Rhinolophus ferrumequinum: one gene and its partners. The protein of the gene in region 3 purifies or fractionates together with the protein of the main gene of each other region. This does not show direct contact. Links are inferred from orthologs where the notes say so. Each region holds a gene or a part of one and is shown on either strand. Other genes may lie near its edges. The genes, in order: RBBP7, ING2, SINHCAF and SIN3A.

The links.
Region 1: the proteins of SINHCAF (region 3) and RBBP7 purify together in Homo sapiens (affinity purification with mass spectrometry; 3 studies listed by BioGRID and IntAct, counting the BioPlex papers as one, with this or other methods). This does not show direct contact. The link is inferred for Rhinolophus ferrumequinum from reciprocal best matches to the Homo sapiens genes SINHCAF and RBBP7.
Region 2: the proteins of SINHCAF (region 3) and ING2 purify together in Homo sapiens (affinity purification with mass spectrometry; 3 studies listed by BioGRID and IntAct, counting the BioPlex papers as one, with this or other methods). This does not show direct contact. The link is inferred for Rhinolophus ferrumequinum from reciprocal best matches to the Homo sapiens genes SINHCAF and ING2.
Region 4: the proteins of SINHCAF (region 3) and SIN3A purify together in Homo sapiens (affinity purification with mass spectrometry; 4 studies listed by BioGRID and IntAct, counting the BioPlex papers as one, with this or other methods). This does not show direct contact. The link is inferred for Rhinolophus ferrumequinum from reciprocal best matches to the Homo sapiens genes SINHCAF and SIN3A.

Annotation. Positions count from the first base shown.
Region 1 is NC_046284.1:113,990,309-113,998,117, reverse strand, and holds the start of RBBP7 (histone-binding protein RBBP7), read right to left. Parts: upstream 3,278-7,809; 5' UTR 3,074-3,277; coding exon 2,929-3,073; intron 2,646-2,928; coding exon 2,501-2,645; intron 1-2,500. UniProt on the Homo sapiens protein: Core histone-binding subunit that may target chromatin remodeling factors, histone acetyltransferases and histone deacetylases to their histone substrates in a manner that is regulated by nucleosomal DNA.
Region 2 is NC_046287.1:78,002,603-78,010,680, forward strand, and holds the start of ING2 (inhibitor of growth protein 2), read right to left. Parts: upstream 3,243-8,078; 5' UTR 2,863-3,242; coding exon 2,688-2,862; intron 1-2,687. Other genes in the region: uncharacterized protein LOC117021196, read left to right, coding at 3,243-3,923, 4,021-4,095. UniProt on the Homo sapiens protein: Seems to be involved in p53/TP53 activation and p53/TP53-dependent apoptotic pathways, probably by enhancing acetylation of p53/TP53. Component of a mSin3A-like corepressor complex, which is probably involved in deacetylation of nucleosomal histones.
Region 3 is NC_046293.1:40,580,854-40,588,607, forward strand, and holds the start of SINHCAF (SIN3-HDAC complex-associated factor), read right to left. Parts: upstream 3,292-7,754; 5' UTR 2,961-3,291; coding exon 2,903-2,960; intron 2,037-2,902; exon of another isoform or gene 1,655-2,036; intron 1-1,654. UniProt on the Homo sapiens protein: Subunit of the Sin3 deacetylase complex (Sin3/HDAC), this subunit is important for the repression of genes encoding components of the TGF-beta signaling pathway.
Region 4 is NC_046289.1:99,846,502-99,854,230, reverse strand, and holds the start of SIN3A (paired amphipathic helix protein Sin3a), read left to right. Parts: upstream 1-4,416; 5' UTR 4,417-4,506; intron 4,507-7,729. UniProt on the Homo sapiens protein: Acts as a transcriptional repressor. Corepressor for REST. Interacts with MXI1 to repress MYC responsive genes and antagonize MYC oncogenic activities. Also interacts with MXD1-MAX heterodimers to repress transcription by tethering SIN3A to DNA.

The DNA of each region.
Region 1 (7,809 bases), on a different chromosome or scaffold from region 3:
CAACAAGGAACCGGTGACATAAATTATAGTATACCCATAAATGGGATTCTATGGAGCCCTTAAAACAAAAGAGCATATCTAAACATGCTGATAGGAAAAAGTCTCCAATATAAATCCCTAACTAAAAACTCAAGCGAACAACTTGCTACTAGAGAAAAAGATGGGAGGAAAGATATATGTAAGTACTTCATGCTGGCAGGATGAGTAAGAAATTGCAAACAACTGACTCCACTCTGGGTAAGGGAACTAGGAGAATGTGGAAGGGGGATTTATTTTTCACTCTATGCACTTTCGTACCATCTGAATTTGAATGACTGCAAAGCTTTTTAGGTAGAGATTAAATTAGTCTCAATACATTTAAGAAATTATTTAATAAGGTAATATAAAATAATGATCTACCAGTTTTGAAAAGTAATTTAAGAAACACCTAAATAATTTAAAAAGCCAAATCAATTATGTGGACAATTACCTAACTCAATTTAAGGACAACAGCTCAGAAAGTGCAAGTAATCATTCAGAAGAAGGTTGTATGTAGGCAGAAGGCCTTGTGAGGTTGAGTAGGGTCGAGTTCCTCAAAGACCCAAGCCGTAACAGCAGCCAACATTTCTACTGCTCTGTATAGTGACAAAACACAATCACAGTCCCTTTATACCCCAAAAAGAACCCTGCAAAGCACACACAGCAATCCTCAACATCCAAGAATGCAGGCTGGCTGGCATTTTCTTGCATTCCCAGAGCCACTGCACGTCCCACAACCAGATCCCACTTCTTTGCATGCAAAGAACACCATGGAATACATAATTTACTTACAGTATTTTCTGCTAAGTTCTTAAGTGTTCATATAAAAGCAATACCTGGACTGAAAACATACAGATCTATTATCTTTAAAAAAATCTTTATGCAAAACACATTATAGGTACCATTTTAAAGACTTCAGTAAGCAGCTTTCATTGAAATCCAAATGGAGAAACAGTGTTACTGCATCCTCTCTAACAAATTATTTCTGAATAGGAGTCAGCACCAGTCACTGCTGTGTACTTACCCTGCACCAGCACTTTAACATGCATGATCTTATGTAATTCCCTCAAATGTAAGCAGTCAGTACAATCAGCACCTCCATTAACAGACCAGACAAGTCAGGGATAGAGACTGACCAACTCGCTCTAAATTCACAAAGCTACTAAAAAGGGGGAGGATTCAAGCTCAGGTCTCTAACCTTAAAGCCCTCACTCTTTGCTATTGTTATAGTCAGTCAAAAAGCTCCAAGAGAATGTAAATTAAGAGAATGTAAATCCGCTTAATAGGAAGACTCAAAGAGTCAAATGCACAGGAGTACCCTTAAGTAACTGATGCTCAAAGTTATTTTAAATGTCAACGTTTAGAAGTCTCCATTATTTAGTTCTTGGCTACTCTTCCCACATCTATATTTTTACCCTGAGATTTCTTTGGGAACTTAAAAGGAAGCCCCTAACTGTATGGAAGTCAATGTTCATATATGGAGAATCTGGCCATTATGAGTAATTTTATATAAAATTAACTTACTCTATTTTTGTAACTTGTTGCAAAATCCCGTTCTAGATTAGAGTTTGATTAATCCTCATTAAATTATATGCACACAATACCCAAGTTTAATACGCTTCTAAAGTGCACGGTCAAGTTCCTACAAGAAAAAGTCCAAATGTATGAGGAAGGTTGTCTAGTGCAGGGACTACCTGAACTCTGGGGCTACCTTTTAGATTTGAAAGCCCCTCTCCACCATTTGCCATCTGTGCGATCTTAGGCATGTTACTTAACATCAGTAAAACAAGGATGATAAAAAGTAATCAAAGTACTTATTCTCAATACTAAACCAAACAACAGAAGGTAAAAAACTGTAGATGTGCCAGGCCCTGTTCTAAGTGCTCAATAAATGTCAGCAATTATTACCAGAGAAATTTTAGAAATAGCTGAAAACAAAACACGCTTATGAAGACCAACAGCAACCTCAAAGTGTATTTCATACTGTAAGCCAGTAATGTCACTTTTTTTTTTTTTGAACTGTTGCTAAATTCTTTTCCCCTTTGCTAATTAAAACGTATGCATCTTGGGGGCTGGTTATATGGGTGTGTTCACTTTGTAAAAATTCATCAAGCCACATGCTTATGATTTGTGCACTCTTCTGTACATTTATTTTTCAACAAAGTTTGAAAGAAATCCATTCATCTGGGCCCAGAGAGATGCTGTTTCATATTTAAGCCCAAGAAATGTTAAATATATCTGGTGCTTCCAGCAAATATCATTAATCTCACAACAGATTCTTTCTCCCACTTCAACGCCACACTTATACATCAGAAATCATCCCATAAACCGCTTGTTAGTTTTGAAAATAAAAAATCACCTGCCACCTCATCCAAGGGCTAAATTGATTACATGCTTATGTTCTACATAGAAAATGCCAAAAGTAGGAAATTCAGGCCAACAGTGAAATTTGTGCAAAATAAAAGTTGCCAGGAACCCTTACTTAGTCACTTCAGGAAGCCACTGAACGGTAAGACTTGGCCACTGAAGAGCATGGGTCATAACCAGGTCATACAGAAACGGTGTATTCTTCTTCCAGATTTTATATTCTTCATTGATGACACGCTCCTCCACAGTATCTTCAAACACTGAAATTTGGAGAAAGCCCATACGATTAAAGGGTTGAGAGGGATCGAAGTCAAAACCTGTACACAGATACTGGAGGTCACCTCGAGAAGGCCACACCTAATCTACTCTTTCTCTTTACCTCTAATTTGGACTCGAACAACTAACTGCTCTTCCAGAACATGGAGAGAATATTAATACCAGGAAGCTGATTTTTTGCACTTTGAGATCAATATCGCCTGCGTATACAGAACTGGGTAATTACACGGACGTCGAAATTGTTTTGCCGATTACAGCCGTTCGCACCTGTTCTAAGATGACGACCCGTTCGTAGAGGGGCTCCACGACCCACCCAGGGAGACGAATCCACGTGTAGCAGAAAGCCACCGACCCGCTCCCTCCATCCCCCACAAGAGGCCTCCGCTCCCACAAAGCCGGCTTCGGCAGCCATAGACCGGCGGGTTCCAGAATTCCCCGGACAAGGGCCGCGACCCCGAGGCGTCGACGCGCGCGTGGAAAGAGCCGCCGTGCCCGCTTTCCGGCGGCGAAGGCCGCCTCCGCTCGGGGGCCGAGGGCGACGGAGGGAGCGCCGCCGCCGGAGGGGGGGGCAAAAGGGGGGAAGGGGGCCCAACCCGCGGCCCCGCGCCCGACTCCGGAAGTGCTCAGAGCCCTCCGCTCCGCGCCGCGTCCCGCGTAGGCCCCTGGAGGCGCTCGCCCAGCCTCGCGCCCGGCCCCGCCCCCTGCTCCGCACGCCAATTCGCGCCTTTCGCCGGCGCGTGCCGCGGCCTCGCGAGCCCGCCGCCCCCCGCGGCCCCGGCGCGCGCCGCCCCGCAGGGCCTCTTACTCTCTTTACTCGCCATCTTGCGTCGGGTTGTTCGCCCCTCGCCGCCGCCTCGGACTCCCCTCGCTTGCCAAGAGCAGCCCAACTGCAGGCGCTCCTGCCTTTCCCAGGCGCGCCACACGCTTCTAGTTCTCGAAGCCTGAGCTCTGTCTCACGGCCTGGGTGCTCCCCAGACGCCGAGTCCTTCTCTCCCGCCTCCTCCCCGCTTACGGGTACCGAGGACTGAGGAGCTCTTCTCTCTCTCTCTCTCTCCAAACTTGGAACGAGACTTTTCAACCCGCGCCTCCCAGCCCGCCCAGGCAGCTGAGCGCAGGCGCACCCGTCCTGGGAAAAGTAAGAGGCGGTAGAGAGGCGGGGTTGAGAGCAGACGGCATCGTCGTCTCGACCAATGACGTTTGATAGGTAGGTTTCACGCGGCGTTTGGAGGCGGGCTTCTGAGGGTAGGCGGGGCGTTCCGCCACAGGAAGTTGGCGAGGCGCAGGCGCGAGGACTCGCCCTGCGCTCCCAGGGCCGGGCGTGGGGGCGGATGGGGGCGCGCGGGGGTGGGGCGACTGGAGGCGAGGCTTGCAGGCTGCGCGGGGGCTGCGAGCCCAGGAGGCGAGCCCTGAGGCCGCGGGGCGTGGTTGCTTGCAGCGGCCGCGGCGGTGGGGGTGGAAGGGGGGCAGGGAGGCTGCCACCGCTTAGCCAAGCAAAATCTCAGAGCGAGAGAAGAAAATGGTTTCTAGTCTCGAGAGATTACTGTGCCCTCAAAGTCTCCCCGATAATCATGGGCATGCAATTCTGTGCACCCCGAAAGGTTTCCCTCCTGCCGACTGGCCTTTCCTGAGGCCTGGGCGAGCCTAGGTGGGGTTTGTCGGAGGCAAAGGGGACTTTTTGCAGAGGCCGCGGGCGTTTTGTGAGTGCAGAAGACGGCGGGCCTCCCTGTTAGGTTAAACCTGTGGCAGGCCGCCAAAGGCCCAAAGCTGACTTGAATTACATTTTCGTTTGTTCACACGTTTGGGTCCTTCAGACGATGATTTGCAGCCTCTCTTGTATTCAGAGGATTTTGTCTCTGCACTGGAGTTATTGTCTCCTTCCCAGCCCCGGGCCCCTGCTGAGTCATTCTTAGCACCTGCGGGGTGTCCCAGGGCAAACCCACCCGAAGCTGGCCGGGGAAAGCTGCGCGAAACTAACCTGGGCTGGCTTTCCTGAGCCCTCCTCTGCCTGGGAGCTTGGTAGCCCCTGAGGAGTGCGTTGGGGTGAGGAGAAAGCGGGCTGCAAGGCTAAAAGGGCCCGGGGCAGAGGGGACGGGGTAGGAGGAGGTGGTCGTGGTGCTACGTGCAAAGGGAACAATAGTCTATATCCAGACTCCGAGAGAGGCTCTCCCTGCATAAGCATCTCGCGGAACATTTGCTGCCTTGATATTTTCCAAGTGCCTTCATGCAAGTCACCATGGTGATTTTCAAACGAAATCGTGCATTTGCCGCTGTGATGCCCACTTTTCTGATCGGGAAACAAACCCAGACGTTAAACCTAGTCGGTGGCAGAACCACTCATATTACCTTATATAGAAATTTACTGTCGGGTGTCTTTGGTTTCCTATACGATATGCCTTCATGTCAGGCCCAGGAATCTTAAAAGACCAAAGCCGAGGAGGGGAGGCGCTGGAGAGGGAAGACAGTTGGGAGGGTGTTTAAACAATACAGCCATGCTCATGTTTTAGGATACTCGTTGGCAAACGTTTCTCTAACCAGATCGTATTTCAGGCTTTGGGGGCAACCACTCAACGGCCGCGTTGTAGCGAGAAAGCAGCCCTGGATAACATGGGTGAACCTGGCTGTATTCCAATAAAACTTTATAGACACTGAAATTTGAACTTTATGTAGTTTTCATGTGTCACAAAATATTCTTTTGAATTTTTTCAACCACTTGAAAATGGAAAAATTTTTGGCTTATGGACCATACAAAAACAGGCAGAGGGTTCAATTTAGTCGGAGGACTGTAGTTTGCCCACCTTGTTCTGGAATAATTGTGTCTTACAGCTGTACTTCAGTGGGTACCTCCTCACGTGCACAGCAAGAGAAGGCTTGGCAGACGATTTGATTTCCAGTCTCCCTTTAATATATTTTACTTATTTCTGATGGGTGAGCATGATTTCCAAACCTTATGAAATGTTTAAAGAGTTGAAAAATTTTACCAGACGATGTTGCTTTAAAATCTTTGTACTGTTCAGTTCACTGAGGGTCAGAGAAGGGAGTATGAAGCAGATACTTAGGAGTTTCTGAAAATATGCAGGCACTATCATATACTTAATCCAAAAGTATCATGTACAGCATATTGCATTAGCTGTGTGTGTGTGTGTGTAATCTATCAATTCTGTTTCTCTAAATTTTTTTTGGTCTTTTTTCCAGTCAGGTACCTTTTTTGCATCAAAAATGTAATACCAGTTTTCTCTTTTAAATTGTTTTAACTGTTCAGTTTTGTTTTTTGCCTTTCACCCCGACTTCTTAGCTCTGGTCCTCCTCTTTTCTCCCACTTTCTCTGTGGTTGCCTTTTTGTCTCACTTGCACTCAGCTTAGTCTACTCGTCGAGTAAGGCACCAATAGGTACATGCACAAGGTGTGGGCTACCTTAACTGAGAGAGGCCCTATTTAGGCACCTACCTTTCTCTAAGACTGCTTACCTCAAAGTTGCTGTAGTGTTAACCATCATTTCTCCATGCTGATGGTGTTTTACAGACTAGTACACTTTTATATAAACTGAAACAAGTTACACCAAACAGTGCTGACCTTTAATATGTGTGATGCACGCTGGTATTTTATTTCATTTTTTAAATATGCAAGTTACCCTTTACATTAATTTTGTGATCGCACTTAGTCACAACTTGGAGTTTGAAAAACACAGGACGCTAGGATAATTTTGAAACCTCTAGCTAGTTGCCTGAACACCCTTTATAAAATAGTAGCACTCCCTCATCTTGCCCCCACAGGTAATCACTCTCTGTCCCCTTTATGTTTTTTTCTCATAGCACTTATCATAACCTGACACATGTTTGTTCATAGGCTTTCCTCCTACACGAGAATGTAAATTGATGGCAGGATCTTTGTTTTGTTGTATTCCCGGCACCTGGGCCAGTGTTTACTAGATGAGGAAGCTCAGGCAGAGAGTGGTGAAATTTCTTGCCAAGGTCACATAGCTAGTGAGTGTTGGAGTTGGAATTTGAATTCAATCGGTCTTATATTAAGACAGCAAAAGTGATTGTGTTAGAATGAACTGCTTACCAAAAGGAATGAGAGAGGGAATATCCCCAAACATGGCTGCCCAGTGATTCTGTGTTCATTAGCATCCCTGTCTCACTAGTTTTTGGAGAAAATCTTAGCCATTCAGAAATATTTTTGAAGTACCTACTGTGTGCCAACTGGTGTTCTGGAGATACCTGGAATGAACAAGACATATAGAGCACCTGCTCTTTTATACATTCCTTTATCATTTGATTTTCTTATTGCAAACCAAAGCTCATTACAGAAAATCTGAAAATTACACAAGCAAAAGAGGAGCATAATGAAAACCAATTTTGTTTCTGGCCAAATCATTTTCATTCAAATCATTAGCAGCAGCAGAAAATACACAAACACATTAATAGCCATTGTCTCTTGGTTACCGGTATTATTGTGGATGATGGTTGTTTTATTCATATGTTGCTTTATTTAAAAATTTTCTCCAGTGGACAGGCATTACTCTTATAAACAGAAAAACCCCCATACATTTTAGGAAAAAATGTATAAACGAATGGTAGAAGAGTAATGCAGACAAATGAAAAGTGTTGTCTTAGTGTGATAGAATGCTAAGTAATTTCTCTTAAAATATTGTTTAATGCAGTTGTGTGAGAGAGAGCTGAAGGAAAATTATTGTAAAGTAAAAACTCACTGTACTTGTTTGAACCTATACTTTGTTTTCATTTACTATTGTGATATTTAAGTAAAGTGAAGTAATTGTTTTGTACTTCTAAGTGTGTTAATATTTAATCTTTGTAGGGTGTCCCTCTGGATTTCTGAAAGGCCAACTTACCCTGTTGTGTTAGCTGCTAATGTTAAGCAATGTGGGCTTCTCATTGGTGACACTGAATAAAGCAAATGACCTAGACCAGAATCCCTGGGGCTTAGACTTAGAATCACTGGGGCGTAGTAAATAAATATTTGTCAAACAGAAAATATTGAATAGGAAACTCCTCCTGGCCTCATCCCAATCCATAAGCAGTGACAAGGAAGCTTCACATGTGAACCTTCTTTTAGAAAAATTGCTCTGAGCTTTCCAGCCCAAGCAAGTTTTAATATACAATGCATTGTAATTTACAAGTGAAGACCGCT
Region 2 (8,078 bases), on a different chromosome or scaffold from region 3:
ACCCCAGACTTAACTCTGCCAGATATGTATGACTCTGCCATTTAAGCATTTTCTACTAAGCTGCATGGAAGGTACTTGAAATTAAGTATTAAATTTTAGTTCAAAGGCTATTTACCCAAGAAATTATGAGCAAAAATATTGGAACAACAACTGAGGGTCTCTAATAACCATATCCCATAATAAATAATACTTCATTCAATTGTAAAATTTTCTTCATTTCTCTATTTTTAAGTTAAAATTACTTTTAAGGTTCTTCAGTAATTTCTAAAAGTGTCTCAGAAAGGTAGGAGAGAAATTTCTTTGACTGCCTATATAATTTATATCAGTAAATACTGCTGTGTTAGATCCAAAAATAGAAAATACTTAAGAACTAGCAAAAAAATAAAAAAAATGAAATCTGAACCAAGAATACACAAATATATACAGCTCATACAGATAAAACTGTGAAAGCTGAACTTAGTAAGCATGTCACAGAGTGAAAACTAGATTGTTGTTTTTATATTGATCTTGAAACTAACCACAATCTTAATGGAGCTAAAAATTTTACAATCTCTCAATCTTTTACGATTTAATGCTGTTTCTCGTGTTACCAGAACTACTTACAGCAATTCTAGATGGTCAAAATGGAAGATTTCCTTCTAACAAATTGTTGCCCCCCACCCCCATTTCAAATAAAAAGAAATAGCTTAACTTTTGTGAAGGCGAATACAGTCTTTAAAGAAATGTAAAAACCTGCAAACTTTACACACTTCAGACCTATTATTATTCAAAAAACTAAAAATGTTCAATATACAATTATTCAGCACATATGTATCATTTTTGGGTTACAATGCATGTACTATATGTGTTCCATGACTGTAGGAAATACCTTTGGTGACCTTTTATTTTTTAAAAAAACAAAAAGTTAAAAGAGTTTAAAAACAGGGATGTGCATCTGAAGAAGCCAGACTGTGAAGTCAAATATTCTCCAACTAATTGGACAAGTTACTTTTAAACTCCTTGTAAATTATAATTTATCCATAAAATGAATTTCAACTTCATAGGATTATTGTAAGAATTAAATGAGATGATGTTCTAGACCTGGCACAGCGATTGCAACACAGTAAATAATCAGTATCAGTTCTCTTCCCCCCAACAGAGATCTGTCCTATCAATCACGGATTCAAACGGCAGAAATAAATTACAGATTCCAAAGCACAGAGACCCTTAAATTTCTAACATGCTAAGGGCCAGAAATGTCACCCGTGAAGTGTTTTCCTTAAAAACTAAATCATAAGATTAACGACGTGGCTAGAAAGCAGAGAACAGGTCCAAGAAGTCATCTGTTTAAAGTCCATATGGCTGCTTCCACATTATGTCCAAGGTCTGGTTCCTTGATTCAGGGTTATTAAAAGCACAGTGGCTCTCCATTTAAACTTTTCCCCTCCTAGTAGCAGGCGAAAGGTCCACCTCTGTAAGAAAGGTTGATTCCTTGTCCTGGCTTTTTGGGTCTGACCACAAAGCGTGGTTTTTGCCTCATGATTTAAACTTGGCAGAGGAGCGACCCAAGGGTTAAGGGACGCCAGGCGGTTGCCCAGTCAACCACCCACTTCCTCCTGGGTCCCGGAAGTAACGCAAGGCCCGGAAACTACGAGGAGCCAGGGTTAGTGGCGGTCCCAGGAGCTGACTGTATCCTCATCATAACTGAGTGGTTGGGGAACAGTCGGAAAATCACGACCAACATGTCCCAAACCCCAATACTGACTCTGCTAGGGATGAATTAAGGTCCTGCACAGCTCCGACGCCCTCCCAACCAGACAGCTCCGCCCAAGCCTTCCTGCGACCAGCCATTTTCGAGGCGGGCAGGAGCGCCCGCGCCCCTCCTATGTCCTACGTCACGCCTTCAGGCCCCGCCCCCAGGAACAGGGGGTGCCCTCCCCGACACACACACACATACACACATACACATACATACACACACACACACACACACACTCACACACACACATCCCTCTTCCTTTCCCCGCAGGGACCCCTCCCGTTTTAACCATGTGGCTGAAGCAGCTGGGAAAAGGGTACGGCCCGGAACTTTACCTGGGGCGGGAGAGGAGTACGGACTCTCCGATTCCCGAGCCCGGAGCCAGAGAGCGGAGGGAGGGACCTCCCCGAAGTCCGCCTTCGCGGCCCTCTCTCCCCTCCTCCCCCCGCACGTTCCAATGTATCTGCTCTCAGGGGGTGGGGGCCGAAGGGGGCTGAGGGAAGCCAGGCCCCGGAGACAAGCGGGTGCCCGCCCGCTCACTCTACGGCCCTCCGCCCGGCTGCACGCTCCCTCACCGAGGCAGGAGGGTCTGCGGCACGGGGCAAGCCAGTGCCGAAACAAATGCTTGCTGCTTAAAATGGCTGATTCCTCTTCACGCCAGCTGCAGCCGCTGGGTCTGCAGCGGGGGCTGACGAGCGGCCCCCACCCCCACCCTTGAGACCCCATCGAAGTCCTCGCCGACCGCAGCAGGGGAAGGGAGGGCCGCGAGCCCGGTCTCCCGTCCGTCTCCCCCGTCCCACACACTAAACCCCCTCTGTGCACTCGAGGAGACAATCACAGGACAGATGGAAAGTGTCACTTCCCCGGGCAGAGTCCGAGCGACCGTGCCCGGAGGCCAGAGGATCCGAGTGAGGGGAGGATCCGCACAGGCAGCCCCGCGGCCCCCTACCTTGATATTTGTTGTCCAGCTCTCGCAACACAGACACGTTCCTCTGCATGTCGTGGGGCAGCGACTCCACACACTCGAGGTAGTCCTGCACATAGCAGGTGAGGAGCCGGCTCCGCTCCCCGGTCAGGAGTGCGGCCGACGAGTAGAGTTGCTGCTGCTGCTGCTGTCCTAACATCCTGCCGTCGCTGCTGCTCCTCGCCGCCGCCGCCGCCGCCGCCTCCGCATCCAGCAGCCACACATGCAACAGTCACGGCCGCGGCGGCTCCTCTGCTCCGCAGCCCGGCGCCGCGGGGACACCGGCAGCAGCTCAAGAGGGCACAGCCGAGTCCCCCGATCTCCACTCCCCCCAAAAGAAGCCCTCACTCCCCGCCCCCGCGGTAACAAGCCCAGGGGCGGGGCGAGATCAGGGCTCCCTCCTTTTTGCCCTCCCTCCCCAGGACTAGAGCAGCGGGGATCCCCCCAGCGGAGCTGGCGCCGGGGTCCCGGACTTTGACACGTCCTGTACCCCTCGGAGTTCCCAGATGCTACTAATGCCTTGTCGTAGCTCAGATCCCCATGACAAGCCGCTCGCTGCCCCCTTTTCTCCCAATCACCCTCTGTGCTTGTCGGAGTCTCTCACTGGACTACCCCCGCCCCTCCTCCTGCGGCCGCGTCTGCGCCTGCGCAGGACTCGCTCCTAATAAGGCCGGGGGCCCGCCCCTACCGCCCTACACAAGGGTTCGCATTCTCCCGCCTTCCCTCCGCCACCCGGGCGATTGGTCTGTCAACTCTCGGCCCGAGGGGAGGGTGCGGAGGAAGGCCAAACGGCAGGCTGCGCCCCGCCCCCTTTTAAAGGAGAAGCACTGTCAGGCCCTCCCCTCTGCCCAGTATCTGAATGGGACTGGAGGGGGACGGTGGCTGACTCCTTCCTTCCGTCCTTCTCCCAGGGAGAGGGAAACTTGGCCTGTCTCCCTCCGCCCGGTATTACCGACTTTTTCCTCATCGGTGGATCTAGCGCGGCCCCTCGCGAGCCTTGAAAAGACCAGCAGGCTGCTGCTTTTCGCCGCAACCTGGAGTAAGGCCTGCGGGAACTACGCGACCCAGCGTGCAGCGGGCGCAGCTTCCCGCATGCGTGGCGGCTGTGTTCCCGCCGGGCCGCTGCAGCTCGCTTCGGCCGCCACTTCTGCCTTGCCCTCGGGCTCTGTCTCTCCAGCCGCGGCTTTCGGGCCCGCGGGGCACCGGGGGCTGATCGCGGAGGTAGGCGGCGCACCCGCGAATCCCTGCGTTTTCTTTTTTAGTCAGCCCGCCTTTTAAATTTCCCTCCTGGCTTAAGCGTGCTTCCGCCCTTCCTCAGACGCGGGAGGTCGCCCGGCGCCCAAGTGCCTTGCAGATTTTGTCCACCCTCCAGCTCTTCAGGAGTCCCGTTTAGTTCTGGCTGCGCCTGCCCAGGAAACGTGTTTAACTGACAGACAACCTTTAATTTAAAAAAAAAAAAAAAAAAAAATTTCCGTGAGTCAGAATGTTTACGCATTAAACGTCAGCGAGGGCTTACTGGCGGCGTGAGGCACACACCACCAACTTTTTATATGTTTTTACTCTAAGACTTAAAAAATACTGAGGGGCCTGAAGGAAGAAGGGGGTATAAACGAAAGTAAAAAACTAATCCGGATTCAGACCCACGGCCTTAACTACGTGATCGACTGTCAGGGTTTAATTTCTCTAGTGTGAAATGCCACGCAGAGGAGCTTATTTTAATTCCAGGTGGACTCTCACTATATGTGATAACGTGTTTTTGAAAGAAATGAATGTAAATAGAACGGATACACTGATAATTTTAACGGAATGCCTATGTAAACAAACCCTATTGTGAGTAGTACCTTTGAGTTAAAAAGAAAACGTGAGTGGGTGATAAATTTGGATTTCCTTGTATCTGGTTTGTTTGCATTGGTGGTACTCCTCCTGTACGGTGACCTGTTTAGAGCATTTTTGAAACAGCTGTTAATAGTAAGTAACCACTGACATGCAAAAAGAAATCTACATCTTGATCTAGAGGAAATTTTACATTTCTGCCCAAAACAAAGCACTCCGGGAAATGCGACGTCTTAGGAACAAAAAAATAACTTGCACAGTACGTGGAGATTGTCTTGTGTTATTTTATCCTGCGACACTGAGGTTTCGACCACTTGAATATTAAGTCAACCCAGGCAGTACAGTGCATTGCATTTCTGAGAACCGTCCAGGGATTTTGTTGCCATTCTTTAAATCTTTCAGATTAAAGTCAGGTCTTGTAAAATACCAGTCGCTGTTAAGAATTGAGTTTTATTGCTTTTTACCTGAACCCTACTGTTTTTGTTTACTCATAGATTTGAATCAGCTAGTCTTTATTGAAGGGCCAAATTAATGCAAGATGCCTTGTTATTTATCGATTCAGGTTAGACATTGAATGCACCTACCGATTTTATTCAGCCTGAAAAGTGATCTGCAGGCAGTAAGACACATGGTTAGAAAAAAGAAGTGAGAAAAGGCAATGAATGATTCAAAATACCTAGAGTACTCCCTCTAGGAACCTAGAGCCAGGTGAGAGGAAAGAAGGGTGAGTATGGGAATGGAGACCTTTTATAGCGTTTTTTCACCATTCAAAATTCTGTTGAACAGGCTGAAAGGAACCAAATACAAAAAAAATGATTTTTCAGTTTGTGTTGGTCTAAACCTATAAAGAACACTCTAAGACAGTAATATACATGTGTATGTAAATTATGTCAGACATGTGCTTTTCTTGCTATATTAATTTATAAAAGTTAATCAAAGGCTTATTCCTGCCATCCTTGTGAAAGCAGACTGTGGGGCGAGTACTTACATGGAAAAAAATAAATCACCGTACTCCCCAAACTCAACTTTTGACCTTGGTTATTTATCATGTCCTTTTCTTCTCAGTAGTCACTTAACTGGAAATTTGGGGCCTTTTCTGATGGGGTTCCTTTACTCTGTTAAATGAAATATTTAAAAGTATCCAATTCTCTGCAACAAAGAAGTTAATTGGTTAATTAAAGAAGTTAACCCTATGAATAAAGCAAAACAGGCATCTTATTTGCTCTTCAATATATTTTCTACTATAAAGTAACCCTAAAAAAAAATAAATAACTGGGCGGCCTGATGGTTCAGTTGGTTAGAGCGCGAGCTCTTAACAATAGGGCTGCCAGTTCAACTCCCACATGGGACGGGGGACACAGTCCCCTGAAACTAAAGATTGAAAATGGTGACTGGACTTGGAGTTGAGCTGCACCCTCCACAACTAGATTGAAGGACAACGACTTGACTTGGAGCTGATGGGCCTTGGAGAAACACACTGTTCCCCAATAAAAAAAAAAAAAAGGTAAGTAACTGACACCCTAAATTGGTAGAAGTGTCTGGGATCACCTTTAATTTCTAAATCAGTTACTTCAAGATGTCCCTGGTAGGGAATGTTTATGTCTCTAACCCTATGTCCTGTTGCCCTTATTTATACTGTTAGAAGGCAAAGCAACAAGTTCAAACTCGGACAACAAACTAGCCAGTAGTTCTGAAGGATTCCTAAAGATATCTCCTGAGAAAATTCAGCTCCTGCGCTGAGGCAGGCCAATTAAATTTGAAATCCTTTACTTTTTTCCACTTTTAAATACTTTTTAAAAACTTTTTATTATGGAATTTTCAAACACACAAAAGTAGAGGTACTAGTACAATAAATCCTAATACACTATTCACCAAGCTTGAACATTTACCAATATGTGGCCAATATTATCTATAACCTCCTTACCCTTGCTGGATTACTATTCTTGTTATCTGTAAATAGAGGGATAGTAGATTAGGGGAGAGGGGTTATCAACTTGTGAAGGGTATAAATGTTAAGTGTCTATTACATCGTTTTGTACACCTGAAACTATAATAAATAAAATAAATTTTTTTAAAGATAAAAAGGATAAGATAATTTTTAAAAACATCCACAATACTGTTATCCCATCAAAAAATGAGCTATTACTATCATGTACTATACAGATAATTCAAATTTCCCTATTGTCTCAATATCTTTTTACACTTGGTTTGTTCAACAGGAGCCAAGCAAGTTCCACACTTTGCATTTGGTTAGTGAGGTCTTTTCTAAACCAGCAAGAGCAGTTAATTCCTTATTTAAATCAGTGAAGCAGATAGCAACCTTTTTCTAACAAAGATATTTGGATGGTTGAAAAGCTCTGTTAAAAATACAGGGAAAGTCAACAAAATCACTTCAAACAAAATCTTCAAATTAGAAGGTCAACAATTGATAGTCCGCTGTAGAAATGTAATTGTACCTCATGCAACTGAAATCCTTGAAAATCTAGGAGTTTGTATTAATTTAGAGTACACGTATAAGGTCTAGAAGGTTCAAGGAAGCATTTTGTACTGAAAATAACCTAAAACTTTAAATCAATTCATTAGTACAACAAGCAAAAAAAATACTAACGGTCTGTGTTTCCACTAAGCTGAGTTTTAAAGCATGTTTAATTGCATCATTGCATAAGTAGTACACACTAACTAGAAAAAAATAGAGCTAAAATGAAGATACATGAAAATCACTGCAAATGAGATAACTTTTCTCAGTACCTAAGTGTATTCCCAAGATGTAATTCCATTTCAGTTTTTTGCTTTAAGAAACCACTTTGGCTACAACTAAAGGACAAAATTAAGAAAACACCAGATTCTGAAGATAGAATATTAGAAATCTGAGCAATGTCATCCTGTATATTTAGTTAGTGAGGTAGACAGCACAGATTTAAAATTGGTGCATACAATCAATCCTATGGGTTACAGTACTGTTCAGCATTTAGAATGACTAACAGCAAAAGATCCTAAAACATTATGAAGGGGCTGTGAATGACTGGGATTGTAGTCAAGAGAAAATTCAGTATAATAAAATATCATTCCCATAACCAAGAAGAAAAACACGTATTATCTACTTTGGCTATGCCAGAGAGAAAAACACACACACACATATGTTATACTTTGCATATTGCTGACCAGAAAAACACTCAGTTTTCCCTGGATGGTTACCATAGTTACATGAGCCGGTTATAACATCAAGAGGGGGAACTAGGTCACAGTATTGAAGGAGTTTGAATTATGCAATTATGTTTCCTAAAAGCAGGGGAAAGGGTTTCAAATTTAAGGAAGAGAGATTTATACTATATGTTCAAAATTGAAATTGTTGTCTAATTTTGCTAGTGAAACTTAAAAATTGGTCCAAAATTAAATAGCTGATATTGTAGATACCAACTGTAGACTCATTGACATTTTATAGCTAAAATTAATTTTAGATCACTTATTTCCCCAAAAGAAAGGAGAGCAGGCAACAGCCTCTCTGAGTGAATAGTTGGGGAAGCCACTGCCACTGATCGTACT
Region 3 (7,754 bases):
CTAATTACAACTCTGGGGAAAAAAGTGACTGACTATCCAGGTTCCAGATCTACAGAATTAAGTATACTGTGCAACAGCAGCCTTGAGGTTCTAGAATATATTACCTATTGAACTCTCATCTCCAACCTCCAGCAAAAGTAATGCAAAAAGGAAAGGCAGCAGAGAGACTTCGTGTGTCTTTCCCACTCTCAACTTACCCACCTTGATAAACAAAATCTCTACTGTACACATCATGATATGTAAAACAAAACCCACTAAGTTCTATATACTGTGTTTGAAAATATCCCAGAATATTTAAATTCTACCCGGAACTCGGCTATAAAATACGAATTAAGAAAAACAAAGAATCTATGTATTCGCAAAATACTTCATATGCATTTTAAAAACAGGACCCAGAGTAATAACTGCCCAAAGGGGAGCCATAAAGTTATTAAATCCAAAGTTTTTCATTTTGACGTGCTATCTACTCACTTCAGAAATGTACTGTTTGTTACTAATATTGGTTGCCATTAGGTGTTTGTAATTTGGCCAAGCAAAACTTAGGAGAAATGAGTTTATTTAATAACAAAACAATGAAAAGTACAAAACAGACTTCAATTTGTACATTTTTTTCTGTGTGTGGGCGTGGCAGCTGAGGATATTATTTTCCAGTAATGACCACTTTTAGATTCTAACCCTTAAATATGATCTAAATGTAGGAGATGTCAGGAAAGATGCAACCGACATGGTGCTGCTGCTTATCGGATGTCTAGACTGAAGGCAAACCCTAAATACCAAAGAAGCATCCATGTGTCAAACCAGCATAAATTTTGAGCTATGCCTGGGGCAACGTACCCAAAAAAAAGTTAGCTATGAAAAGAAAATCCAAGAGGGGTAACCAGAAGGTCAACCGAATTCACAGGAACGAGGAGGAAGCTAGCAGGGAAGGCGAGCCACTGCCCTGTTGTCATCCCCCTCGCAGCTTCCTCCCAACCCCCATATTTAATCTCCAAGAAAGGCCCAACTCCTTATTTACACGCTTCTTCAAGGTCATCCGAAGATAATGCAGTGAATAATCACCACACATTGAGCCAAGCAAACCTTCAGGGCCAAGAAAGATCGCCCTTCCCCAAATTATTATAAAAATACTTCAAATGCCATCAGGCTTTTCTCCAGCTCCACCAGAAACAAACTCCCAGGCTTGAATTTAAATTGAGCAACTAATAAACGTGTTAGGTTTTGCAACAGAAAATTATTCAAAGGCAAGTGTGGCAAACTCAAGTTCAAAAACAGGTGCTTTCAGGGTAGTTTTACTGACAAGGTCAAATTCATTTTTTAAATAATTATAAGAAAATGGGAGGAGGGGGAGTTTTCTTAACCTTCCTTCGGACAACATGAGGAGCTCGGGGAAAGGATTGCTGGGGTAAAACTGTGTCGCACAGTGTCCACCCTTGACTAAACGTTAATTCCTCGTCTAGCAATAGAGGGTTAGAGGAAGAAAATAAAAACAAAGAAACCTACTAGGGTCACAGTTACCAGAACAAACTCTGCACCTCCCTACCACCCCAAGAAACCTCCCACCCACCAAAACAAACCTCGCCCCTCCCGGTTCCCCCTCCCACTCATAAACACACAAAGAAAACAGCAGCGTGCACCATTCGGCCACAGTCCTCACTTCCCTTTGTAGGACAGCCGAGAGCCCCGAAACTTCCTCACGGTGGTTTTCCGTGTGTCGTCGGGGCTGGGTTCCCTGAACGTGCGAGCCAAGCCTCAGCTGCGGGGATTGGGGGTGCTCGCCGCATTCACCGGTTTCCCCGAAAGCAGCAAAATGCCTCTCCCGTCCTCCCACGGCCGTCGGGTCCCCGCCCACGGCCTTTGGGTCTCCCCAAATTGCGCTTCTCCCTTGTGCACGCGGTGACCGCCGAGAAAGAGGCAACAAGGCAGCAAATACAAATGCTCCCGGGTGGATTTGTTGGTAAATAAACCAACTTTGGTCGGGAAGAAAGTTCCCGTGGAGAGCTGCTGGCCCTGGCGAGGGCAGCCGGAGGTGAACTGCGTCCCTCCTCCTCCCTCACCTGCGCCGGAACAACGGGCCCCCGCACCCTCCCCGCCGCCCGCCCAGCCCGGCGCCTCCCGCAGGCCGCGCCTCCCGCACGCCGCGCTGCCGGGGCTTGTTCCTCCTCATGGCTTTACCCTGACGTAATTCAAACATGGCAACAGTTCGACTTCAAAGGCGAATCCACAGACCTCCCAGACTCAAGCTCCGGGCCGCGGGTAACCGGCCAAGAACTCGGGGCCACAATCTCCCGGCCCCTGAGCCGTCGCGGTATGCGGCGCTGGGGCTGAAGCTGCAGGACCCCAAGACACTGCCTCCCTCGCCCGCCGGCCCGGAGCGCGGAAGCCTGCCGCCTCCCCGTGCACCAGCATGGCACCTCACACAAGTAGTGCCGCCAAAGTTTCCCCGCGAGGGGCTGAGGGACAAAAGCCCCTCCCGAAACTCGCCCGAACTTCGGGGGGCCCAGCCGGCACGGCCCTCCGCCCGCAGCCGCCCTGAGCGCCAGCGGGGCCCGCATGGGCACATGCAGCTCTTTGTTTTCTGTCCAGCCCGGCGCTGCCTACGTGCAGCATCAGGATGTCGGATTGTTTCCCAGGGACGAGACACTTGACGATCACCCCGGGGAAGGCTTGGGACCCCGCGCCCGAGAGTCCGGAGCCCTGTCCTGCCGTCCTCCCCTCGGCTGCAAACCCATTTCATCAAAGTTTGCCCTGTCCTTAATAAGAAACGGCCGGATTACCCGCCCCGCAACCGCGCGGAGTTGGCGACTTTCACTCTGCTTTTTAAACTGGCAAGACGCCATCATCAGCAAATCACATTGTCCTGCCAGGCGGCCGGACCCGACAGCGCCTGCATCTCACTGCTGACCTGGAGCTGGACACTCCGAAGAAAACCAGGTCGCAGCCCCAAGCACGTGGTCTGTCATGTTCAGCACAAAAAGGAGTGCCCTCCGGAGTTCTCTCACTCCTAGGGCGCAGACAACGCCGCTGACTCCATCCCCAAGTCAACTGGCTCTGACTGGCCATCTTAAGCCGCACACGGTCGCCCTAGAAAGCCCTCGCCGTGGCGCCCACAGCTACGCTACAGGTGAATACACTGCGAACAAAACTTGAGGCTCCACAGACACGTCGGACACCAGCGCTGCTTGGGCGCGGTCGGGGGAGAACAGGCGTGTGGGAGCCGCGGCTGTTTCCGAGAGGCCGCGTGTTGCTCTCATTGTCGCATCCGCATCCCTCCGGAGTTCGGCAAACAACGCCACGCCGCGTGCACTCGGCAACCCCGGCACCGACCCAAAGGCCGATTTAAACCCCCTCAAACCCGCCAGTTCGCAAGTAGACAACTTAGTTTCCGAGCGAATGGCGTTTATGGTCCACCCTTCTCAAAACACGCGCAAGGAGCTGCAATAAACTAAACCACGAGGTTCAACTACGGCGCCCGACCACTCCCGGGCGCGCGCCCACGCGATGCACAGACCCGGGCCCCTCCACAATTGCCAGCGAGTCGTTTTCCTCTCGGGCCTTTTAGCCACCGGGCTCCTTTCCGCCTGAGAACGCTGCGACTGAGAAAAGTCATTGTCACCTTCAACGTGGATCCCTCAACTCCAGCGACTCCGCACTCGTTTCCAGGCTCCACTCACTTCCCCCACCCCAAGACTTTCGGTTTGCCTTAAATCCCCTCCTCAATTAAAAAAGACGCACTAAACGTGTGCATACAAAAGAATATGGGGTCTCAAAATCACGAAAACTGCACTGCCGGCAATGCCATCTCCAAGACAAAACTTCGTGTGTGTATGGAAGGACTGGGGGTGGGGGGGTGAGGTGAAAAAATAAAAAATAAAAAAGCCACTGAAATCAAAGCCTTGTGAGACAGTTTTGCACCAGAGTAATGGTTAGAGTCACTCACCTTCCAAAGGCAACCGTTCCACGCGCAATAACGTTCCCGAAGTGCGGAGTGCACGCCAGGCCAACCCCCCCCTCCAATCGTTCCCTCCTCCTCAACTGCCTTGTCTAGAAAGATTGTCTCCAGCAGTTCTGCAGTTGCTACCGCTGCCCGGGAAGGTGTAGATTCCGCTTTCCCTCTGCGCACGCGCGGCTCCCGGAGCAAAATTCTCCTGAATTGAACTCATTTGCATACGGGCGCGCGCGCGTCGAAGGCGGGGAGGAGAGAAGGCCTGGCGGCCGCGCGCGCTCCCGGGGCCTCTATTGTCCTTTTAAGGGGAGAAGCGCCGTGGCGCGGGAAACGCGGCGGCCTGAAGGAAACTGGGGCGGAGACTGCTTACTATGGCTGACGTCACATAAACAAACGCCTCCTGTCTGGAGGCTGTGGCCAAGGGGGAGTGGCGGGATGGGAAAGGCGGAAAGGTTAGCAACAGAGGGAGAACACTAGACTGCGTGACGTGCTTTCCACCCTGAAGTTCTTAGGACGCACTATTTCGCGTTGAAAAATAGTTTTGAACGGTGTTTTTGCAAAATTTTCACACCTGTGCCCAGTTTCTGTGCTGAAGTGTTAGAGGAAGTGGTCTTGCAAGCGCCCAGACTGAATTTATAAATCCCCCAAGTTTCCTAGATTTTGTTTGAAGTTGGGTTTTTGAAGCTTTGTTTAATCCTGTGGGGCCAGCAGAGGTTTATTTTTCGTGTGGTTTTAATGAGTCGTTTAATAAAGTCCCATTTGACCCTCAATCCATTCACTAACTCCCGCCTGCCCTCCTCAAACGGTAACCCAACCCATAACAATCCAACTTTTTTTTTTTTTTTTTAAGGAGGCTGTGGCTTAGAGTGGCCCATCCGGGATCAAACGGGCAACCTTGGTGTTATTAGCACTACGCTCTAACCAACTGAGCTAACCGGCCACCCAATAATCCAATTTTTTATCTCCACTTTGGCCTTAAGATTTCAAGCCTGTGTGAGTTGAAGGGTTGTTAATTTCCATGGAACCACTTTTCTAAAAGACTAGATTACTAGCCAGTAATCTAGGGATGCACATACCTCCTCCAGCTGTTTATAAAGTGTTTCACTCATCCAGAAATACTACTAACTGGTGGTCTTGGGAATTGAAAAAGTAGCCAGTGAAATGTAGACTTCCTTATGGAATACAAGTCAACGTACAATTTAAATGCTTCTTGCCCCAGGAGGACAAAACAAACAAACAAAACTGAAGTAACTTCTCAGATTGACATGAAAAATGAAAAACAGAATGATTGTGATACACGTTTATTCTGAGAACACGCCTCAGACCAATAGGCTGAGAAGCTGATTTAATAATAGAGGGGGTGGGCGTTGGGGAGAGAGGAAGGATGTTTTCCCCCCAGAAACTTGATATTGGTCCCAAGCTACAAACGTGTGGGCATCAACCATAAAACTTAATCATCTGCTGACAAGTTTCACCGCTTTCATTGTAGTGTCAACAATGTGCATTTAAATAGATGCTTCTGAACCGCTCATTTAATTCAACAGCCAATTCCTAATATATATAAGACAAACCCCCTTCTGAAATCTTCAACTAAATGCTTCTTTTTTTCTTTAGGTTCTGTAACATATTATTTCTGTAACTGTATATGAAAACTCTATATTAAATACCTGTAGAAAAAAACTGACATCTCACACTAAAATGTGAGCTCCCTAAAGGCAAGAATTTTATATTGTATTCATTTTTGTACTCCAGTGCATAACACAATGTGCAGCAAATTAACTCTGAATAATTCCTTGTAAAATAATAAATCAATGGATGTTTTCAAATTTATTATAGATTTATCTCAAATCAAAACAACTTTAGAATTTTTGTATTTAACCTAAAATGAGTCTGGAAGTTATAGTGTTCACCTCAATTGGTATGATGCCTTTCCTTATCATAATAAATAAAACAGAATAAGCTTAATAACTGTTTTTGGGCTTTCATTGGTGGCAAAATGGACCCTGAGCATAAACTCCGAACTTCTTTTTGAAGAAAATTTTTAAAAGTTGTGCTGGGTTGTATCAAGTACTTATTTGCTTTATGACAGATCCTCCAAAAATAATTTCAAATTAGTATATGCTTTTGAAAGTATGAAAATAGCACAATTTTTCAAACTTCAATTATTGCTTACAGGATATATATATATTTTTATATAAATATAGAAATTACATATGTATTTATATAAATCTAAAAATGTACCTTGAATGCCTCTTCTCTTGAACATTTATGTAAAGAATATATATGGTAATCCTAGGATGCAATTAGGTTCAAATGTTCAAGCAATGCAGGAATTACAGTATTTAGGATATACTGTTCAGATAAAGTACCTGGAAGCTTCAGAGCTACTGAGCTACTATACAGCAAGACATCCTCTGCTCTCAAAGTAGAGGTCGAGAAGTAATCTGGGTAATTTTTGTAGGAAAGGTAGCAACAAAATCCTTAAAGAGAAACTCAAGTTCCTTAGAGTCGTAAAAAAAAACCAAAAAAAAAAAAAAAACCTCCTGCTATTTTTGAACAACCAGGTGCATTCCAAAGGTTCTTTTGTTCATTTTGTTGCTTGACTGCATTGTTATGGCTGACTCTATCCAGGACAAACAGCTCATTTATGGGCTACTTTAAAATACTATTACCTAAGTAGTCCAAGTGAATTTTTCATCAGGAAGAAAGGGAGAGAGGGAGGGAAGGAGGGTGGGAGGGCGGGAAGAAGGAAGGAAATAAATTTGGATTACAGGAGATTGAATTACACCACGTTAGAAAAAATATTTGAGAATATTTTAATAATTATAGTGTTTAACTCATACTGAGTTCTCAAAAATATTGAAATTGAAATTATAGTAAAAATTGAGATTAAATTGAAAATAAGTTGCCAGATACTCAGTTAAGCCAATTACCTTCCTTATAATATATGGTCCCTCCTATAGAATTATCCCTAATGCTTGAACATTTTCATTCATTTAGCAGATATTTAATTAGCATAACGATATGCCAGATAGTACAACCATTTCAGAAATAGAGAGGCTCAAGCCCCCTCACCTCTTCTAATTTATTTCTATATAATTCTACTTTGTTTGCTACATTTTCTCCTGCAGTATTTATTACCTTCTTTTGAGACTTTTTGTCAGCAACTTTACAATTATAATATTTTTGAAATGGAGGATAAATTATATATAAAGGACCAAAAAGGACAATTCTTGCTTGGTAATGGATGTTTTTATCAATAATTTAGTAATGGTTGTAATGACAAATCAAACTAATGGTTGTTTTTTAAATGAAGGCTGATACCCTCACCAGAGGCTGGTACCAACCACATCAAAACGTTTTTGTTGAGCCCAGGAAAGAGCTGATTATTATTATTAAACATTGGGTTTGATTCCTTAGCAGGTAATAGCTATAAGGCTAAACCTTTTCCTCACACCAAAACAAGCACAGTATTTTGTTACCTATTTGTTTAAATCCTTTTTAAGTTCACCTAACGAGTGGTCCAAGCAAGTCAGATAATTTTAAGCTATAAGGTATAGAATTGGTTATATGATCCAATAATCCTCCGACAACCGTTGACAGCTGCTAGAAAAAGGTGTCTATTACTTAATCAAAATTAACTTTTCAAATTTCTGAACTTAAAGAATTATTACATATTTATTCTTAGGAAGAGTAATCTCTGATTTTTTTAGAAGTTATAAGTATTTTACTACTATCTTATGACATCTTTTACTACTATCTTATTTGAATAGCATACTTTAAAAAATAAAATTACTGGTAACAAAAGTAA
Region 4 (7,729 bases), on a different chromosome or scaffold from region 3:
CAGTGGATGTATGGAGTCTGATGTTCAAGGCAGATTCTGTGTTGGAAGATGTCAATTGGAGACTTAATTTAGATAGAAGCTAGGATCCTTGGAAGTGGGTGAGAGCAGAGAAGGAGGAGGGCAAGAAGAGAAGAAACTCTTGGGAGCCACCAACATTTAGGGGAGGAAGGAGGAAGAAAAGCCGGTGAAAGATTGATTAATAGATAGAGGTAACCAAGGACAAGGCCAGGCTGTGTTCTCATAGTCTGGTGAGAGGGGAGTGGCTGGGATGAATGAATGGGATTGGGAACTAGGTTCAAGAGTGGCCCTTGGGGCAGGGACTGACAGAAGGGGCATGCGTGGGAGGTGAAGGAAGAGGCAGCAGGCAGCTGGGGCTGTCGCCAACCGAATATGGCCCCCCTTTTCTCTCATGTGCCAGGCCTCTGATTACTGTTTCATTGGAACAAAGGAACCTGGTGCTTTACAATAAAATTAGCTGATACACAAAAGGAAACACTTTGAAAACAAAGTCAGGTAAACTGGGGAACATAGTGTTTTATCTACTTTCTAGATTTGGGCTAGAAGTGGCCCAGAGGGGTAAGTTAATGCTCAGTGAGGGGAAGACGTTTCAAGGCAGTGAATGGCAATCTCCAAACCCACTACAAGATTCCAAGCCTCCAAAGCTATCCGGAAAGCAGAAGCATAGAATATGTACACCCTAAGCCTGAAAAATGGAGTTTCTTCACACAGTGGGTCCTTCTGCCTGTCCTGGCTCCTCAGACTGCAGCACCAGGGAGAGGCGTCGCATTTCAGTGGCCCGGCCATAGGATTAAGAAGAAAAGGTCTGAGAACTTGACTAAATGCCAGGCATACTTTAATCTCCCAACAGCCCAATGCTGTAGGAATACTTAGTTTACAGACAAGAAGATTGAAAAGATAAATGACTTGCCAAAGACATCCAGCTAGGAAGTGGCTAAATGGATTTTGACCAATAGCTTGAGCTTTTCCCCTTGAACGTACCTATAGGATGCTTTGGGTTGGGGGTGGGGACCAAGCCTCATGCCCCTCATCTGGATATTCCCAAATTGGCAATGGTCTATAGCTGGCAGAGGCTCTGTCAGCAGGGCACTGGCAGTGACACCCTTTTTACAATCACTGACGTGCAGGCCTCAACATCTCAGCCACCTACCATAAGCACCCTAAAGAACTGAATCCTTTCTGTGAATGACTGTGTGAGAGAGAGAGAGAGAGAGAGAGAGAGAGACGTGTGAGGCATGGTGACTGAAGGTGTGACAGTTTTGAGTATATGTGAGCTGAAGACACTGTATGTGCTTGGAAGACAGATCTTGCTTCTTCAAGGATAATATTTGTGGAAGGGCCAGAAATCATTTGGAATGATCTGGGAACAAACTACTTTTAGAGTTCAGAAGGGTAGAGCAAGAGGGGAGGCTGTTTTCCTCCAGACACCTCAGCCTGGTCACGGGCCTAGTGTGTACAGACAACATATGGGGGAATGGATAAAGCTCAGGCTTTGGGCCCAGACAGTCTTGGCTACTTGACTTGAACAAGTCACTCTACTACTCTGACCCTCAGTTTGCTCAACTACAAATAGGATAGTAATCCCTAACTCACACAAAGGAGGCCTCCTGGGACTCAGAACCTGGCTTCTCAGTGTGACCTCTCCAAGGAAGGCCCTCACCCACATCCACTCGCTGGTTTGTCCTCACTGACAGTGTAGGGCATAGGTAGGGTGGATGCAAACTTAGGTGCAGCTGGAGGGCTCATGTCGCCAAATCAAATGCTTTCCCAGAGCCTGGTCCTCACTGCTATGCAGGCATCAGTGTACTGAGTCAGAAACAATTGCTGTCTCCTTTCCAAGGGGCCTCCTTTGCCTGACTGCTGGGCACTGGGGGCTCCGAGGTGAATTAGTGGTTGTCCTACAGGTACACAATCCAGGGGGGTTTCTAGAGGGGATTTCCACCAGGGTGGTGCACACAGAAGGTAGGGAATGTCAGCAAAATCTGGTTATATTGAGTGGGATTAACTATTCTAGTTGTAAATACTCCCTAAGTAACTTCATCCACAGTACACCATGTGCTGTCCAGGCTTACAGTCAAGTGCTTGGGCCTTTGGCCTCCACAGAAGCTCAGAACCTCACGAGGTGTATTAAATATCATTCCATTTGATCTTCATAACGGAGCAAGGATTGCTATGTTATCTTCTTGTACAGCACAGGAGGGTGAGCCACAGATGAGAGACTAAGTGGGAACCATGGGACTCAACTTCTAATGTTCTTTCTGCTCTACCACTCTGTCTCATCTCACATTCACACGGTATCTGTTAGGCCTTCATCTAGGTCACAGCTTCTTGGGAAATAGAGCAGGAATCTGAGACAGGGCCCCAGATATCAGGGGGATCTCTGTTCTGATATAGTCAAAATTGGTTCTCACCCTAGGGAGCCCCCAGTCTGAGAATGGACTTCAACCTCCGTGGCCCTGCCAGGTGCTGGGCCTCCCACTGAATACACAGTCCTCAGCTCCTGGCCTTTCCCCTTCCATACCTTTTCCCTCAATGATTCCACCAAGCTACCACCCAAATTTTAGTCCCCACTTTAGGACACACTGCCCTTCCCTAATCAGTAATTCTTCCCACCTTCCCCCTCTCAGTGTCAAACTTCCCTCCCCATCCGACCCCCAGCCCCATGAACTTTCAGTGGGGAAGGGTTCTTTGAGCCTGTCTTTCAACTCCATTTTCCATCCCCATTTTCCGAGTTGGGGAAACAGGCCCAGAGGGAGGAAGGGACTTGCCAAAGGATGTATCACCAGTTACTGACCACGCTAAATCTAGAACCCAGATTACCTAACCAGTAGCCTCAAGCTCTTCTCCCTCTTCACACAGCAGGACGCTGACCCCTTTCCCTCCACTACCCACACTGAAACAGCCTTGCTTACCGATTGCCACTGTCCTGGTCAAGTCCATATTACAGCTCACCTGAAATGTTGGGACAGCCTAACGGACAGCAGCCCCCATTTTGACCACAGGACTCTAAGGCTCTCACATGCTGCACACACCATCTCATCTACACTTCCTTTCTTTAATAGGTCTTCACTCATTGCGTGTCCTGGCCTCAGGCTCAGCTCTGTTGAGCCTTGCCCCCCAGAAACTCCTTTTGGAAGTTAAGACAAACACTGCAAATGATTCAAGGAAGAATCTGAATCAGAGCTATGACTTGAGGTCTACTGAAGGCTTTCAGGATTGGGTGGCTGGGAGAGACAAAAGAAACCTCTTGACTCCCCCCATTTACCTCTCCCACCAGAAGATGTACCTCTGCAATCTCCAAACCCAGTATTACAACAGCCTTTGTGCCTTACCTTGCTGCCTGTAGGCACCCCTCACTCAACCCACCCTCAGCTGCTGGGATGCTGAGCATCTTACACCACAGTTCTGAGCCTGTAGTCATGTGACCATGCTGCTTGCACATTGTACTGTGCAAGTCCAAGAATTTTAACCAGGTATTAAAGTTTTCTGCCATTTGGTTCCATCTTTCCAACCCTGACTTTCATGACTACAACCACACTGGGAGGCCTTTAACAGTGTCTTGCATTTACTCTTTGGTGCCTGTTGTTGAAAATGACTCGCCCCTCCATTTCTGCCTGATGAAATCATTAAGACCCAACTTGAATGCCACCTCTTCCATAAGACTTTCCCAGTTTTCTCCAGCTAGGAAAAAAATCTCCCTGCTCTGAGCTCCTATGATAAGATATCTAAGATATCTAAGATATCTATACATACATTTCTGCCTTGCTTTAGCTCTTCTGTAGCATCTCCTCAGCCGGGTCTGGAGCCCTGGTAAGGTACACCGTGAGCAGCCTATTCTCTGTAATCGCACCCAGCAGCGGGTGCGACATGAATGTGTCCGCCTCACCCACGGTAAGTGCTCAGACAAGTGCCTGTTGCCCTTAACACAGGACTTACCGCTTACACAGTTCATTTTTAAGGCAGGCGCCTAACAGAATGGGCCATACACGGTTAGGTTACACCGCCAGGGGAGTTGAGACATTCCAGCCAGTCGCTAGGGTGTCTCTATAGCCTCCTTCTACCCCCCCACGTACCGCGCGTGCGTGCGTGCGTGCGTGCCTGTGTGTGTGTGTGTGTGTGTGTGTGTGTGTGTGTGTGTGTGTGTGTGTGTGTGTGTGTGTGTAGGAAGTGGGGGCGGGGTACCCTCACTGGCTCCTCCTCCCAGCCCACCCTGTGGATCAAGTCCTAGAAGGTCTCCCTCCAGTCCAAGAGCCTCAAGAATCTCGAGGCAGCGGTGCTGGAGAGATAGGGTCCTCTCCCACAGATGCGCCTCCCACGCACGGTTAATTTATCTATATATATATTTGTTGGAGGGAGGGGGAGTTCAATGAAGGAAAGAGGTGGGGCGAGGGGAGGAGGCGGGCCGATGGTGACTGACGCGAGCGCTTGGGAGCCAATGGTCCGTGGGGGGCGTTCCCCCCATTCAGGACTCCTCGCCTGGCTCGCAAGGTATGTTAAACAGCTGCTTTTAATTTGGTCTCCCCAATCTCCGCCGTTTGGGGGGCTAGTTCGCCGGGCGGTCGCTTTGGCCGGTCCGACACAGTGCGGGCGCCGCGGGCCCCGAGACGGAGCTTGGGCAGGCTCGGAGTCCGAGGAAGGCAAGGGGCAGGCCAGGAAGGAGAGCTCTTGGCGCCGCCCGCTCGCCAGTGTTTCCCAGCCGAGGGGGCTCCGTGGGGAGGGGGTCGGCCCGGCCCGGGGTAGCCAGTACGCTGACCGTGCTGCCTAGTTTATTTCACCGAGCAGTCAGTTTCGGTAGGTTGCTGTGGCGGACTGGGTAAGGGGGCGGGCAGGAGAGGATCTCCCTATGCTTCTGAAACGCCTTAAAAAAAATTATTGTGAAGGGGGAAAAAAAAAGGACTCCGCACACCGACTGGAACCGGACCGGAGCTGCGGCGCGCGGGCTCGGCAGGGGGCAGCGGCCTGAGCCCTCCGAAGCTGAGTGGGTCGAGAGCTGGAGTTCGCGAGCGAGCTGAGGCCCGCAGCTTTCTCCGCTAACCACGCCGGGCGAGTGCGGCAGCCGCCCCGAGGGTTTCGTTTCTATCCGCAAACTTGTCGGAAGGGGCGGTGGGCGCGCTCCGGGGAGGCGCGGGCGCCGCGGGCCCGCGGTTGTTATGGACTCTGGGGGCGGGGAAACGCAGGCCTGGCAGGAGGGGCGGCCGGGGGCGGGGAGGCCACCGGAAAGAGCCCCTCGCGTAGGTCTAGGCGTTCCGAATTCGTGGGCCGTGGTGGTAGAGCCGGCCTTCGGCCCATGAACCAGTCAGGCCGCGAGCCCGCGCGGAACTCGGCCCGGCGGTGTGGAAAAGCTCCAGCAACTCGGCGGCTTCGACCCTTGCTACAGCTGATCCCACAAACAAGGAGCTGCTTCCCTCCCCGCCCACTCCAAGGCGGCGGGGGCGGGGGCGCGGGCGTGCGAGCGCGCCCACGAGGGGGTGGCCTGAAAGGGGCAGTGAAGGTCGGAAACTGGGAAAACAGTCTCCACGCTCGGACTCGGGAAAAGGAAATGCATCAGCGGGAGGGGAGGGGCGCGCCTGTCAGCCGGGATGGCGGCCGCGGGCTGGGAGGTGGGGCTCCGGCGCGAACCGCTGCCGTCAGTCGGAACGCCTCCGGGCGAGGAGTAGGGGCCCGAGCCCCCAGAGCGCCCGGCCGCTCCGTCATCCACTGCTTGGCCTATCCTGTTTACTACGTATCTACTCCGACGACGGCTTGTGCAACTGGCGCGGAGAACTGGGGGGCGGAGCTTTTCCTGTCTTCCACCCACCTTGGACTCTTCTAGAGGGCCCGCCTTCTCTTGTCTTCCACTGGTTGGGCGCGGCTCCCTTTTATTCTTCTCGGTTATCTATTGGATGACATTCTCCCGAGTTCCGCCTATCGGAGGCCGGGCTGGAGTTTAAGTTGCTAGGATTTTTTTCCGTGAAGGGCGGAGGGAGGATTCCTGCGGCTTACGAGACACGCAAGGTTCCGCCCCTACTTCTGATTGGTGGGATGTCGTCCCGCCTCCGGCGTAGCGAGCTTGGAGGGGGAAGTCCACCCCTGCCTCCCGCCCCCTTCCCGGGTTGTATGAGCTGTAGGCACACGTGTGAGACCCGCCTTGCTTCTTCGAACTGTCCTCCCGCCCGGAAGTACCGGACTTGGAGCCTTTGGCGAGGCGGGGCGGGGAGAGCCGAGATAACAATGATCCTCCAAGGCTCGAGATCTAGTAGCCTTTGCGATGAAGTTAGGGGTTGAGGGTGTGGAGTGTATTTTAGGGGCTTAGAGCTTTGTGTTCTGCAGGGGGTGGTATCTGTCCTGCCGGGCCGAGTACTAAAGTTCTGACTGCGGCCTGGCTATTCCCGCGCCCCTTGACTTCCCAAAGATCGCCCTGAGCTCAAGCTTGAGAACGCTACGGACGCTGACAGTGTGTTTTCTTACCAGAGCAAGGCAACCGCTGTCCTTAGCTGGCTTTATCTAAAACTAAGCAATCTAGGATTGGCCTGGATGCCTTAGGCTGGATCCAGGGCAACTCATCCCTTGTTGACAGAGAAGTCAGGAGGCCAAGGGGGGGGGAGAGGGGGAGGAGGCGCGGTGGCCGAATCCTGCTTGGGTTCGCAGTGGTTCTTGATATGAGGTGGGAGCGCCGTGGTGCACCCAGTCCAGGGAGTGGAGACGACCCAGAGTTAAAGGTAGCCCCTGGTCTGTTCTGCAGAAGCGCCAGTCCTTCGAAACCTCCGGGGGATTTGGCCCGGGGTTCGCTTTAGTTGGTATTACTTATTTTTAGAGTTCTGTCCTGGGGCAGGGCTTGGCTCCCGGCAAGGCTGCTCCCATTTGTCGGCTGCTCGTGGGGTTCACAGTTAGCTGCCTTGTCCTTGCGGCTGGAAGCCACCCTTGCAGTCAGGCCCACCTGTTGCCAGCGCTGGCTTCTGCGTCTCCGCTTTGCGTAGGGAGGACAAGATAGGAGGACCGAGATTCCCTGGGGCCTGCCACTTGTGGACTGGGCCTTTTTGCTGGAGAGCGGGAAAACTCTAGTCCCGCCCCCTCCTCTCCTGGCGCTCCGTGAGCGCCCTCCAAAGCAAGGACAGGGTCAGTTCGCTCTATCTGGTGAATAAATAAAAGCAACCTAGGCACTGCAACCACTTTGTGTGTTCGAGGCACTAAAACCTATACAAAGAGGGTCTATGTTCTGCCATTAATATTCGGCCGAGGAGAAGGTGAACAGCCGTTCTTACTATTTTTTGTCCCCAACTCGAATTTTTATCCTTTCTCTGAAGTGTGGGGTGAAGGTTTATGTATGCCATGGCCTGTTTGACCCCCTTCCTCAGTTCTTCGAGTCTGAAGATGCCTCCCTGGAAATCGCAAGTGCCTTACGCTTCACGCTCCGCCTTCCGGAGGCTTGCCAGGGCGGTGGCTGTTAGGGACCTTCCTTCATTTTGGTTGTCTCCGCCCTTTTAAGACTGCTCATTCAGGTTTAGGGAATGTCGGTGTTGGAAGTGTGCAGCAGGTTGGCAACCCCTGGGGCTACTCTCAGTTTTGGTTTCCAGTCCTTAATTCTGCACTCTACTTACCGATAGGAGTTGTCGGCTGCTCCGGATATTTGTGTTTACGAGGAGGCAGCGGGTGCAAATGTAAATTGTAAAGAGAACTGATAGGAAGGATGAGGTTCTCCTTTTCTTTTTCTGTAAGGGTGGTAATGCTGCTA